3 linked regions of the Mus musculus genome follow. The protein of the gene in region 3 purifies or fractionates together with the protein of the main gene of each other region. This does not show direct contact. Links are inferred from orthologs where the notes say so. Each region holds a gene or a part of one and is shown on either strand. Other genes may lie near its edges.

Region 1 (4,144 bases), on a different chromosome or scaffold from region 3:
CCCTCCAGGACCAACCGCAGGCTGAGGGAAGGATGGCACACTCACCTTCCCAAAGGCTCCAGTGGGGTCAGCCAGGAGCCGAACCTGCAGAAAAGAGAATAAATGTCACAAGGAGTGAGAGGGCTCGGTGAGTGAAGGTGCTTGCTGCCAAGTCTGGCAACCTGAGCTCAGTCCCCACGACCCCACCTGGTAAGAGAGACTCAGGTCTCACAGGTTAGCCTCGACTTCCACTCGTGCATGATGGCACAAGTGCCCACCCCACACACAAAATGAGTAAATAACATGTCACAAAAACAAGGAAACTTCCTACCTGGCCCCGTCCCCCTCACGGGCCCCACACCTCACCTTGCCTTCTGCCTGGTGGGCTCGACCCCACTCTTCAATCACAAAGACGTCATTAACGCTCAGACAGGCCACCACCTGCGCTCCCTTGGCCTTCAGAGCTCCAGCTTGCTCCACAAACCCAGGCAGGTGGGTCTGAGAGGAAAACAAAAGGTCAAAGGAGAGCAACTGCAGTTGCTCAGCCTGCTCCCCCTATTTCCTAACATCCCTGACCAGGGTAAGGAAACCAGTGTGAAACTGGCCACTTCCTTTTTGCCTTGGCTACTAGGAAGCTTGGACCTAAGGGTGTATGGTCAAGACCATAGGCAAATCTTTTGTCTCATTAGCCCGAGTCCCAAGGGCTTCCACCACCAGCGTCAATCAGAGCTATCAGATTTAATGTGGGTTCTTTTCTCCCACACTCCTGGTCCCCAGTTTCTGATTCTCGAAAGGAGAAGTCTCACCTTAGAACAGCCAGGTGTAAATGCCCCAGGGACTCCAAACAAAACACCTTTCTTGCCCTTGAACAGCTCTGCCAAGTTCACCTTCTTTCCCGGTTCCCCTTCAAATACCTCCACTGAGGGAATGGCATCTCCCACCTGGAGAAAAAGACTCCAGGGTAAAACAGAGTGAAGAGAGACTAGTGAACCACAGCCACACAGATAGACCTTGATGGAGCCAGTGCTCACACCCAGCAGAAAAAGTGCCTGGCGGTTCAGGGGTCCATTTCTGTCCTCGCTCTCCTGTATGTCCTGCCTGCCCCACATCCTACATGACTGATTCTGCTTAAGGCCAGTTGGTGGCAACAGAGAAAGGGAGAGGCCTTCTCAAGTGTTGCAATACTGTATAAACAAGCCACCCAAGATGGGTCAATGCACAGAGGAGGGGTACAGAGGGCTATGTTTGGGGTTGAGAAACCGCCTGGTAACAGGCAGGAAGAAAAATCCTATCCACACACCAGGAGAAACACTTTGGAAAACCAGGTTAGCTATGTAAGCCAAAATGTTCAGGATGTAGGCTCTTGGGGTCGGTGGGAAGTGTCAGCCCACCTGGGGGCTTTCAGAGCCACAAGAGGAAAGGAAGGCTGAGGTGGGTAGGTAAAGGTGCCCACCACCAAGCCTGGTCAACTGAGCTCTAGCCCCACAAGCGACATGGTAGATAGAACTGACTCCTGAGAAAATTGTCCTCTGACCACCACACTCACATGCCTGTTACCAAACACACACACTAAGTACATGTTTAAAAGTTTTTCTTTTTTCTTCTTTTTATAAAGGGCCTTTAATCCTAACATTCGGGACGCAGAGTCAGACAGATCTCTAGGAGTTTGAGGCCAGTCTGGTCTACACACCAAGTTCCTGGCCAGCCAAGACTATATAGTAAGTCAACCTCTGTCTCTGTGTGCCCCCCCCCTTCCTTCCCTCCCTCCATCCCTCCCTTCCTCTCTCCCTCCCTCTCTCTTTCTCTAAAAATTAAGTCCAAAAACAGGAGAGGGGATAGGTTCAAGAATTCCCAGAAAGATCAAACAGAAGGGCGGGATCGGGGTGAGCATACATAGAGTGGAAACAGAAGTGGAAAAGATCAACCCAGGTCCCCAAGGGACCATGGCTCTTTCAAAAGATGAGATGAAATGGAGTTTAGTACAATCACAAAAGTGCTGGGGCTTTGGGGAAAGGGTTGGAAAAGCTGCCAAGCGGCAAAAGAGGCATTTTAAGAATGTGGGAAATGACATAGCATTCGGTCGCTTGAAAATGGTGGGGACTTGTCCCTGGACGTGGCATAGATGTGAGAGGGCAGCTCAAGAAATGTCCCAGGACGGAGAAGCAGAGACAGGGTCTTACAAAAAACATGACAAGAAGAAACGTCAAGGAGGACAGCCCGAGACCCCGCGTGGAACCCAAAGAGACGCGATAGGCTGGACCCAGGAAAGGTAAAACCGGTCACCTTGATCGGGGCCATGGTCACCGCGGAGCTGCTGAAGCTGCGGGCTCCGCCACACTCCCAACCTGCTTCTTTCCGGCCTGCTCTGCCTGCCAAGCACGTCGATGCACGGAGCACAGAACTGGCTTTGCAGCCCAGGACTCGAAGCCCCAGCTGTAGCATACCCGCCCCGCTGCCGCAGCCCACCCGCAGATGGCTCTGCCCACAGGAGGTGGATGCAGGGACAGCTCCGCCCACGCCGCACGTCCCACGTCGCAGCCACAGCGCCGGCTTAGAGGGGCAGGGCCGTGACGCACTACGACGCGGCGGGGCTCTCAGGGCTCGCACACCTTCTTCAATCGCAGAAAGAGGTGCCTGGTTTACCGACGTGACAGTTCGTGACCCATAGCCGCAAACAGAGGTCGGGGATGATCTGGCTGAGCCTCAAATGTGTTCGTTTTACCTGCGCCGTAACGCAGCCGGTTTACACGTGACTTGCATAGTGTGTACTCTCTTCAGCGAGCGGGATTCGGCGTAAGCCTTTGCAGTCTCCCCGAGAAACGCTTCCGGTACCAGGACGTGACCCAACACAGTCCTTCCGATCTCGGCTGCCGCCAAGCCCCCCAAAAGGTCCCCTAAGTCGGCCACTTCCGGTCCGGCGAAGAGTTCAACGGCTTCAAAGCGGAAGTGGTAGAAAGGAGAAGTGTGGACTCCTTCCGGTTCCGGCCTCACGCGCTCCGCTGTGACAACATGAAACTGCTCACCCACAATCTCCTAAGCTCCCATGTGCGGGGCGTGGGCACGCGTGGCTTCCCGCTGCGCCTGCAGGTAACTGCACAAGGGTTCATCGCCCATATAGTTCAGGGTGGAGCCTCCGGGACCCGGACCTACCTCGCTAAACCTTTTTACCGCCCCCCCCCCCCCGCAGGCCACTGAGGTCCGCATCAACCCCGTGGAGTTCAACCCGGAGTTCGTGGCGCGGATGATCCCCAAAGTGGAGTGGGCGGCGCTTGTGCAGGCAGCGGACACCGTAAGGACCCCGCCCCTTCTGTCGCCCCTTGGGGGCGGGCTCAGGCTCTGAGCCTCTTCCCTGCCCGGACGGCCTCGGTGTTCGTGTGCCCACTGACCACGTACGCTTCCTTTCCACAGTTAAACTTGGCCGAGGTACCCAAAGAGCCGACTGAAGGCTATGAGCACGACGAGACATTTTTGAGGAAGATGCACCACGTGTTGCTTGAGGTGAGAATCCTTGGGCATCGCCTGCCCAGACCTCCCACTGAGGCTACCGGTGCTTAGCTTTGTCCTGCTCCCCTGCAGGTTGATGTACTGGAGGGCACCCTGCAATGCCCAGAATCTGGTCGTCTTTTCCCCATCAGCCGCGGGATCCCCAATATGCTGTTGAATGATGAGGAGACTGAGACGTAACCTTGCTAGCCGCCACTTTGGTATTTTGTTGACTGTGTGTTTCTGTTGTACGGTCTGTTAAATAGACGTGTCATGTGTGACCCCCAAACTCCCCCCAGTGACTCACCGACCACCGTGTACTTGAGCTCCATAGTATATTTTTTTTCTCATTAAAGGTTCAAAACCAAAAGCGGTTTCTCTTTGCAGCAAATATACATTAAAATAGAGTCTCTGTACAGCCAAGGGCTCTGGGCCCTGGCTTGCCCCATGGCCCTGCGCCTCCCTGGCCAAACCCAAAAATAAATATAGTGTTATTGCTCTGCAGGGCATAGAGGCAGTGCTGTCCCCCACCCCTTGAGGTGGGAGCTGATAGGGGGCCCTGGCCACCCCTGGGGTCCAGGGGCTGGAGCCTGCTTGGAGTTATTGCTTCAAGGGGGGGCAATAATGCCCAATGCGGATGAGGAGAGGAGCGAAGGGACGGGGCCTTTGCTTTCCAAGCCCC
Region 2 (3,622 bases), about 59 Mb from region 3:
TAGACTGAGAACCAGGGTTGAAAAAGATGGGAGATTAGCTTAAAGCAGAACCCAGTGAGACCAATACCTTTGCGGCCACCCCATTCGCTAACTTCTTTCTGTCCCAGGGCAAGTAAAAGCACTCACGCATCCTTCCTCGGGGCCCTGGTGCTCCATACCACACAGGCCTTTCCAGCCCAGTGGCCTGTGTGAGAGCAAAGGGCATATGCTAAGAAGCTGGGGAGAGTAAGAGCCAAGGGCAGAGGAGGTATGCTTCCTCATTTTAAATACTGGCTCTGCAAGAACAAGTCTTCTCTGTCTCAGCTTTCCCATCCCTAAAGCAGGGCAGCATGGGGAACGGGAGAGGAACGATATCAGAATGTGGAAAGTATACAGAACAGAGCTGAGTGCACAACAGGCATGAACTTGCTAAATAAAGCCAGGCTGTGAGTTTCCCCTTAAGTTCCCCCCAGCTCTCTAAGGCACCAGGGTGACTCTAATGTTTGTTGTAATGCCAGGGCTTTCTCACCGATTCAGACCAAGCATACGAATAACAATATTCTTTTTAGAAAGAGCCCGTGGATACAGTTCCCACACACGAGAAGTTCAGAGCACCTCAACAGTGGCCTCACAATTCCACGATGCCACCTAGTCTACTATCTCTTAGAGCCAAAGTGAACTTATTTCCAGTGATCATCTGGGGGCGGGGGGATGTAGAATATAGGCCCCAAAGGCCCCCACAGGCTGCGAGTGGTGAGATGCTTACTCTAGATGTGCAAACACAGCTCTCTGAGTGTCTAGGACCACACCCATAACTGGCACACGCCCTATTCTTCCGAAATAGAACTTCTTAGAGTCCCACTTCTAGTATTACTGGACGTTTTTATTTTAAACAACAGGGTAGACTCCAGTGGAGGCCACTGTGAAGGTGTTTGGTAGCATCCGATTTCGTACTACGTACCTGGCAGTCATCCACATCCACTTCAAGGAACACCACATTGGAATACTTGTCACAGAGGGACTGGAAACATTCAAACAAACCAAGAAGCGTTAGAACTGGATAATAGCATTCAACATAGTTAAGCGTCTTCAAAGGAAATGTAACAGAGATTAAACATTTATTTAATTTTAGCTTATGCATACGGGTGGTTTGGTTACATGTATGTCTGTACACCATGGGTGTGCCTGGCGCCTGCAAAGGCCAGAAGAGGGCGCTGAACACCCCACAAGAGTTATAGAAGGTTGTGACTCTCCCATTTGGGTGCTGGGAACCAAACCAAAGTCCCCTGCAAGAGCAGCCAGTGCTTTTAACCACTGAGCCATCTCTCCAGCTCCATACACTTATTTTGAAAGAACTTATTTTATTTATTATTGCATTATTATTGATGTAAATGTGTACAGGTGCATGTGGAAGTCCGAGAGCAACCTCTGGGAACTGGTTCTGTCTTTCCAGGGTGGGTTTTGAGGATCAAACTCAGATCCTCAGGCTGGCAGGGTGAGCCATGTGTCTTTTTTTTCCCCCACTGAGCAATCTCACTAGCCAGGTCTAAAAATTCAGCCTAGAGATGAAGCAAGCGCCAGGGACACAGCTGTCTCTCAGTCAAGTGTTCCTAAGAGTAAAGTAATTCGGCACTGTAACTTTGAAGGCCGAATTTCACACTAGGCCCAGGTATCAAATCAGGGAAGGGGGGGGGGAGATCCTGGGGCAGGGGACAAAATTATTTAAGACAACAAAACTCCCCAAAGTTGTCCTCAATGAACTATATTACGTAAGTTTCCATGCTAGTACTACTTTTAAGCCAATGACACAGGAGAATAAAATAAAGCAAACAGCAAACTCCTCGCACCCATTAATTTCAATCCTTTTCTCTGGCTTGGGTCTACCACCCAGCCTCAAAGCTCACTGCTACTCCACTCACATGGAAGAAGGGCTTGATCATTTTGCAAGGTCCACACCACGTAGCAGAGAAGTCCACCACGACAAGCTTGTCTCCCGCGGCGGCCAGGGCCTCCTGAAAAGCTTCCTGCAGAGGGAGAAAGAAACACCTGTGTTACACATCATATACTTTCACTTTCCGTGAGATGTGGCCAGGTGCCACCACGCCTTTAAACCCAGCACTCACGCTGGAGGCCAACATGGTCTACCACAGTGGCCAGTTCCAGGCCAGTCAGTGAGGACCCCCCCTCCCCCATATCCTCCAAAAAGACCCAAGCAAACATGCAAATCAGCAACAAAGAGATATTAAGTACAAAAGATGAGGTTCGGCTCTTCGGGCCTATCTTTTAATCCAAAGCAACCACATAAAGTGGCCTGAAAGGAATCCTGCACACAGTTGGCATTATTATACTTGATCAGGTGATATAAGCAGAGTGTATTGGTCTTCAAGTCTTCAGGAATATGTATAAGATATTACGAACTGCCTAACCTGAGGTGGTGTATGGACCCAGGGCCTGGCACCTGCCTCTGAGTTACATCCTTAGCACATAACCAACATTTACACTAAATACAAGAAAGGGAAATAGGCATTTGTGGTAAAAATGTTTACCCTTTAAAATCAGTTCTGTGATAGATAGTGGATTCTTAGGGGGTTGGTGAAAGGAGCCTCAAAAACTGAAGAAGCTCCACAAGAAGACACAGTTAAGCAATGGGGAAGTCACAAGTTACTTAACCAAGGGTCAAATGAAGGCAACACTTACCGTATTTGTCTAGAGTAAAACATGGGAAAACCTCTGACCCCAAGGCAGAGTCCAGGAGAGCAGTCTCCTACTCAGCTCATCACTAGCATAATGTCCTGTGTGTTGCTGTGTTAAGATTTAATTTGTGTGTGTATCTGCTGGTGCCGAGAGGGGTCTTGGGATCCCCCCTAGAGCTGGAGCCATGGGTAGTGGGTACTGCCTGAGGGTCTCTTAACCACCACGCCAGCACTCCAGCCCCTTCTGTGTGCTTTAACCAGGGCCTATAGAGTTGGGATCTTTCTGGTTTATCCACCTTTGGCTTTTGCCCTATGGATCAAAACTCTGTTCTTTACATGAATCCAAGTTTTGGTTTCTCAAGAAGGAATTATTCTGTCATATGAAATCCCCAGCAAAAATGATTAAAAAAAAAAAAAAACAAACCCTCACTGCCAACCTCTCTGAATTATTTACTAAAAGCCTTGAGACTGTAACCCTAGGAACCTAACAGTCTAGTCACCAGGGACTCATTCAAACCACCATTAGTCATGGAGAGTGACCAAAACCCAAACCGGGGCAACAAAGTGAATCAAAGCAACACACACAAGTTGTATCTGAAGCCAACATTTCCTTCTGGGAAAAATGCTGGTCAAATTATTTAGCAAAAACTAAGACAAATTAAGAATATTATATCTGGTCCAACAAAGGAAAGTAAATATCTTATAACCACACACACACCCCTAGTTAAAACCTAATGCATTTTCATGGGGGTATACTTACTTTAATTTTAATTTATATTTACTGTTTCTTATATTTGCATTTATTTATTTATGAGTATCAGTGTTTATGTCTGCATGTATTTATGTACATCACTTGTGTGCCTGGTGTCCTAAGAAGCCAGAAGAGGGTATCAGATGCTCTGGAACTGGAGTTAGAGATGGGTATAAGTGACCATGTTGGTGTTGGGTAT
Region 3 (4,191 bases):
AACATCTACATTCCAGTCCCAGGGGATCCAATGCCCTCCTCATGTACCATATGTACATGATGCTCAGACACACATTCAGGAAAAGAAAAAAACCCACCATACACATAAGATTAAAAAATGTTTTAACACCAAGCGTGGTGGCACATGCCTTTAATCCCAGCACTCGGGACGCAGAGGCAGGCAGATTTCTGAGTTCGAGGCCAGCCTGGTCTACAAAGTGAGTTCCAGGACAGCCAGAGCTATACAGAGAAACCCTGTCTCAAAAAACAAAACAAAAAAAAGAGGAAGGGAAAAGCAAAGGCAGGTTGTATCTATCTCTAGGAGTTAGATACAACCATGGTCTACATATTTAGAAAGCCAAGGGAATAGATAGTAAGACAGCTCAAATAAACAAATGATGAGAGCGAGCAAGAACTGACCAAAACAAAGGGGGACAAGATTGTGCAAGCTTTAATCTTAGCACTAGGGAGGTAGAGGCAGGAGGATGTCTTTGAGTTCAAGGCCAGCCTGATCTACATAGTGAGCTTCAGGACAGCCAGAACTACATAAAGATCCTATCTTAAAGAAAACTTTTTTAATTACAGTGAAAAAAGAAAAGGGAAAGGGCTAGAGAGATGGCTCAGCCCTTAAGAGCACCGACTGCTCTTCCAAAGGTCCAGAGTTCAAATCCCAGCAAGCAACTACATCCGTAACGAGATCTGACTCCCTCTTCTGGAGTGTCTGAAGACAGCTACAGTGTACTTATATATAATAAATAAATAAAACTTAAAAAAAAAAAAAAAAGAATTCCCCCAATAAATAAATGCCACTAAAAAAGGTAATCAGATAAATGTTAAGGTATAATAAAGCATACTTTCTCTAGAAATGACTCATACCTAGGATATCTACCCTTGTTATCACTGTCCTAACCTTGACTTCACTTCAACCTAAAGACATGTGAAGTGGCCTCTTTAATCTTACCTTTGTATTCACTTAGGCTGATATCTTTGAATTGTCCATCTGGCATAACAGCTGTAGCTTTGAAGTTGGGAGCAGGATACCCAATTTTTGCATTTCCTGAAGACATCTTGCTATCAGCTGGAAAAGACAACAAAAAAAAGTAAACCCTATTCTTCTAAATAAGCAACAGCTTTCACCTACCTAGGAACTTAACTGTAGCTCAATCAGAACACAGGCTCACAGTTAAGGGTCCCAACCCAAAGCTCCAACTCCAGGGTAAAATTGAGACTGAAAAATCAGCCTTTGTTTTCACTTGCTAACAGCTCCACAGTGTGTCTAAATAGGTCAGCTCTCCCACCCTTTCTAAGCCAGTTTTTGCAATGGCATTTTATTCTGCATATTCATTAGGGAGAAACGGGAAGGAAATGGAACAGACACAAAAATCCCAAGCACATCAATGCCAGGACACTGGCATTTATTGCTTCAGATCTTTAGGTGTTCTGTTTAAGCTTAAGTTTTCTCTGCATAACTTGTTTGAGGCCAACCTAGATTTAGTAACCGTGTCTTAAAACGTTCTTTAGGTTTAACCCAGGGACAGTGGAGCATCATCCCAGCACTCTGCATGCTGAGGGAGGAGGATACTGAACCGAGGGAACACTTGTCTCAATTTCTGTATGAGGGAGGTTACGCAGGTTAAGGTAATTGCTATCTGATGACCGTAGTTCCATCTCCAGAATGCCCATAAGGATGGAAAGCCGACTTCTACAAGGTTCACACACACAAATGTTTAAAAGAAAAAAACTTGGGATGTGTAATCTCAACACTTGGGAAGTAGAAGCTTAAGATTCAGGAGTTCAAGGCTAGCCAAATTAGAGGCCAACCTATTTCCAAGATACTCTAAGAAAAATACAAAAAGAGTCAATGTACTGCTAAGAAACCGATTTCTGCACTATCGACCCAGGTCAACACCAAGACAAATAAATTGTTAAGATGTACAACATTAGGAGCTTCAGCGATGGCGCAACAATTTAAGAGCCTACACTGCTCCTTTCCGGAAAAGTCCTGGTTCAGATTCCTCCACCCACTTAGGATGGGTTCACAACCACCTGTAACTAGCTCGGGGGGGGGGGGGTGTTTACCACACAGGTAGACATACACATTAAAAAAAAACCCACAATCTAAAAGAAAATTTACGCCTCTCAGTATGAGTGCAAGTTGGAATCCAAGTTCCAAATTTCTTGGTTCATAATACCAATAACCAAAAGAAACGCCAAGAAAAAAAGCATCTTTCATCGCAAACTTTAAAAAACTTTTAACTGTTTTTTTTCAGGGACATGCTGCACCTGCAGCATAGCAACTACCTATCTGGTGTGCCCCCTAACATAAACCATCTTTTAATCAAACTTGCTTTGCAACGTGGCCCAGCATTTCCAAACTCAACCAATCCCGGAAAAGCGACTTCCGGCCGCTGAGAAGTCTCCGTAGGAATCGGACTAGAACGCCGGAGAAGGTCACGCCCCAAGCTCGCTGGAGGTTACGTTCCTACCACTCACGCCATCACCCACTATAGCACATCAGAAAACACAACGACACAGCCCAGTGCGCGCGGTAAGTTCCAGCACAAACTCGTCCCACCAAGCCATCTCCGCCCTCTATCGGTGAGCGGGAGAGGAGGAAACTGAACGTTAGCCTCAGGGTTCCAACAGGTCCGGGAACTAAGCGCCACGTGAAGAATGCGAGTAGAGCTCCAGCACTCGCGGGACCAGGCCTCGCCCTGCCGCTTCAGCCCGTGATCGCCCGGGACGAGCCGGGACCGGCCAGAGGGAGAAGGAACCAGTGATGGGCGCGAGCCGCGTTTCTCAGCGGCGATACCCGCACACTCACCAGGGTCGAGCCACAGGTCTCACAAACAGAAAGAGCCGTGAGAACGCAGGAAGAGGTCGCCCGACAGCGCGCGCGGGGAGCTGCTTTTATAGCCTACAAAGTTCTCGCGAGATTCTCACGGGCCGGGGGTGCGGGAAGAGGGGGACCTGGCTGAGCCCCGCCCCACCCTGGCCGGCCTACGGGGGATGACTCAGCGCTTTCCCTGGATGGGCCTGGAGTGGAGGGGGTCTCCAGGGGGAAACGCTCACACTTTCAGTGATGCTGTTCCCAGAGGTAGAAAAGCACTGCCCTTTGAGTCATTTCCTCGTTTAATCGGGGTACCCGGGTAATCCGTGCCTCTCTTTATTCCCAGGACCACTGTGTGCTGTGCAATCAAGACCCAAACTAGAAGAAGGGTCTGTTTTACTGCTCTTGGAAGGCCACGTCTAAAATTAAACCACGTTCAGGGGAAACTGTGCACCCAAATATTTCTCAGTCGCACCCCAGCCTCACAAACCTATTCTAGGGCTGGAAAAGCTGGCTCAGCCGTTATAAGCCCTGGCTGCACTACCAGAGGACCCAGCCTCAATTTCCAGCACCCACATGGCAGCTCATAACTGTGTAGATCCAGTTCTAGAGGATCCAACACCCTCACACATACATGCAAGCAAAACACCAATGCACAGAAAATGAAAAGAAATAAATCGTTAAGAACAAAAACAAAACTCCTGTTCTAGTCTGGTCCTCATTAACCCTCACCACTGAGGGCAGCCTCCATTGGTCTCTGATTACTGGATACTGCTTTTCTGTTTCACACCCATTTCTTGCATTATTCTTAAATCTTTCTGAATCTCAGCCTGTCACTAAACTGATTTGTGGTTTTAAAAACTGGGGCTCTGTGGTCAATTTCCTGAGTTAAAAGTCACTGTTCCAAGCCAGGCAGTGATGGCACATCTTCTTAGCACTCTAGAGGCAGAGACTAATGGAGCTCTGAGTTCGAGGCCAGCCTGGTCTCAATTCAATGCGAGTTCCAGGAAAGCCAGAGCTACACAGAGAAATCCTGCCTCCAAAAAAAAAAAAAAAAAAAAAGTCAAGAGAGTTAAAGAGGGGTCAGGCTTGATGGCCAGCACTGGGAAGGTAGAGGCAAGAGAACCTCTGTGTTTTTTAGTCCATCCTGGTCTACATAGCAAGTTCCAGGACAGCAAGGACAACATAGAGACCTTGGGGGAGGGGAGGGGAAGCCGGATAGATACAAAGCTCAGAGTTCCCATTTCATATCACATGCTTTGTGTGATTTAGGAACCCAGAGATGGATATAATCCAAACTTTACCCTCTAGAAAGTCATGCTATAAGGATGGGGCAGACATGGAAACACAACAGTTAGAAGA

The links.
Region 1: the proteins of Prdx1 (region 3) and Prdx5 fractionate together in Homo sapiens (co-fractionation; 3 studies listed by BioGRID). This does not show direct contact. The link is inferred for Mus musculus from reciprocal best matches to the Homo sapiens genes PRDX1 and PRDX5.
Region 2: the proteins of Prdx1 (region 3) and Txn1 purify together in Homo sapiens (affinity purification with western blotting; 3 studies listed by BioGRID, with this or other methods). This does not show direct contact. The link is inferred for Mus musculus from reciprocal best matches to the Homo sapiens genes PRDX1 and TXN.

What each region holds. Positions count from the first base shown.
Region 1 is NC_000085.6:6,907,197-6,911,340, forward strand, and holds the start of Prdx5 (peroxiredoxin-5, mitochondrial isoform 1 precursor), read right to left. Parts: upstream 2,911-4,144; 5' UTR 2,422-2,910; coding exon 2,263-2,421; intron 921-2,262; coding exon 786-920; intron 478-785; coding exon 346-477; intron 85-345; coding exon 46-84; intron 1-45. Other genes in the region: Trmt112 (multifunctional methyltransferase subunit TRM112-like protein), read left to right, coding at 2,989-3,066, 3,167-3,268, 3,388-3,477, 3,556-3,663. UniProt on the Homo sapiens protein: Thiol-specific peroxidase that catalyzes the reduction of hydrogen peroxide and organic hydroperoxides to water and alcohols, respectively.
Region 2 is NC_000070.6:57,949,899-57,953,520, forward strand, and holds part of Txn1 (thioredoxin), read right to left. Parts: intron 2,004-3,622; coding exon 1,899-2,003; intron 1,001-1,898; coding exon 941-1,000; intron 1-940. UniProt on the Homo sapiens protein: Participates in various redox reactions through the reversible oxidation of its active center dithiol to a disulfide and catalyzes dithiol-disulfide exchange reactions.
Region 3 is NC_000070.6:116,684,293-116,688,483, reverse strand, and holds the start of Prdx1 (peroxiredoxin-1), read right to left. Parts: upstream 2,886-4,191; 5' UTR 2,824-2,885; exon of another isoform or gene 2,646-2,823; intron 2,548-2,645; exon of another isoform or gene 2,462-2,547; intron 1,078-2,461; 5' UTR 1,067-1,077; coding exon 961-1,066; intron 1-960. UniProt on the Homo sapiens protein: Thiol-specific peroxidase that catalyzes the reduction of hydrogen peroxide and organic hydroperoxides to water and alcohols, respectively.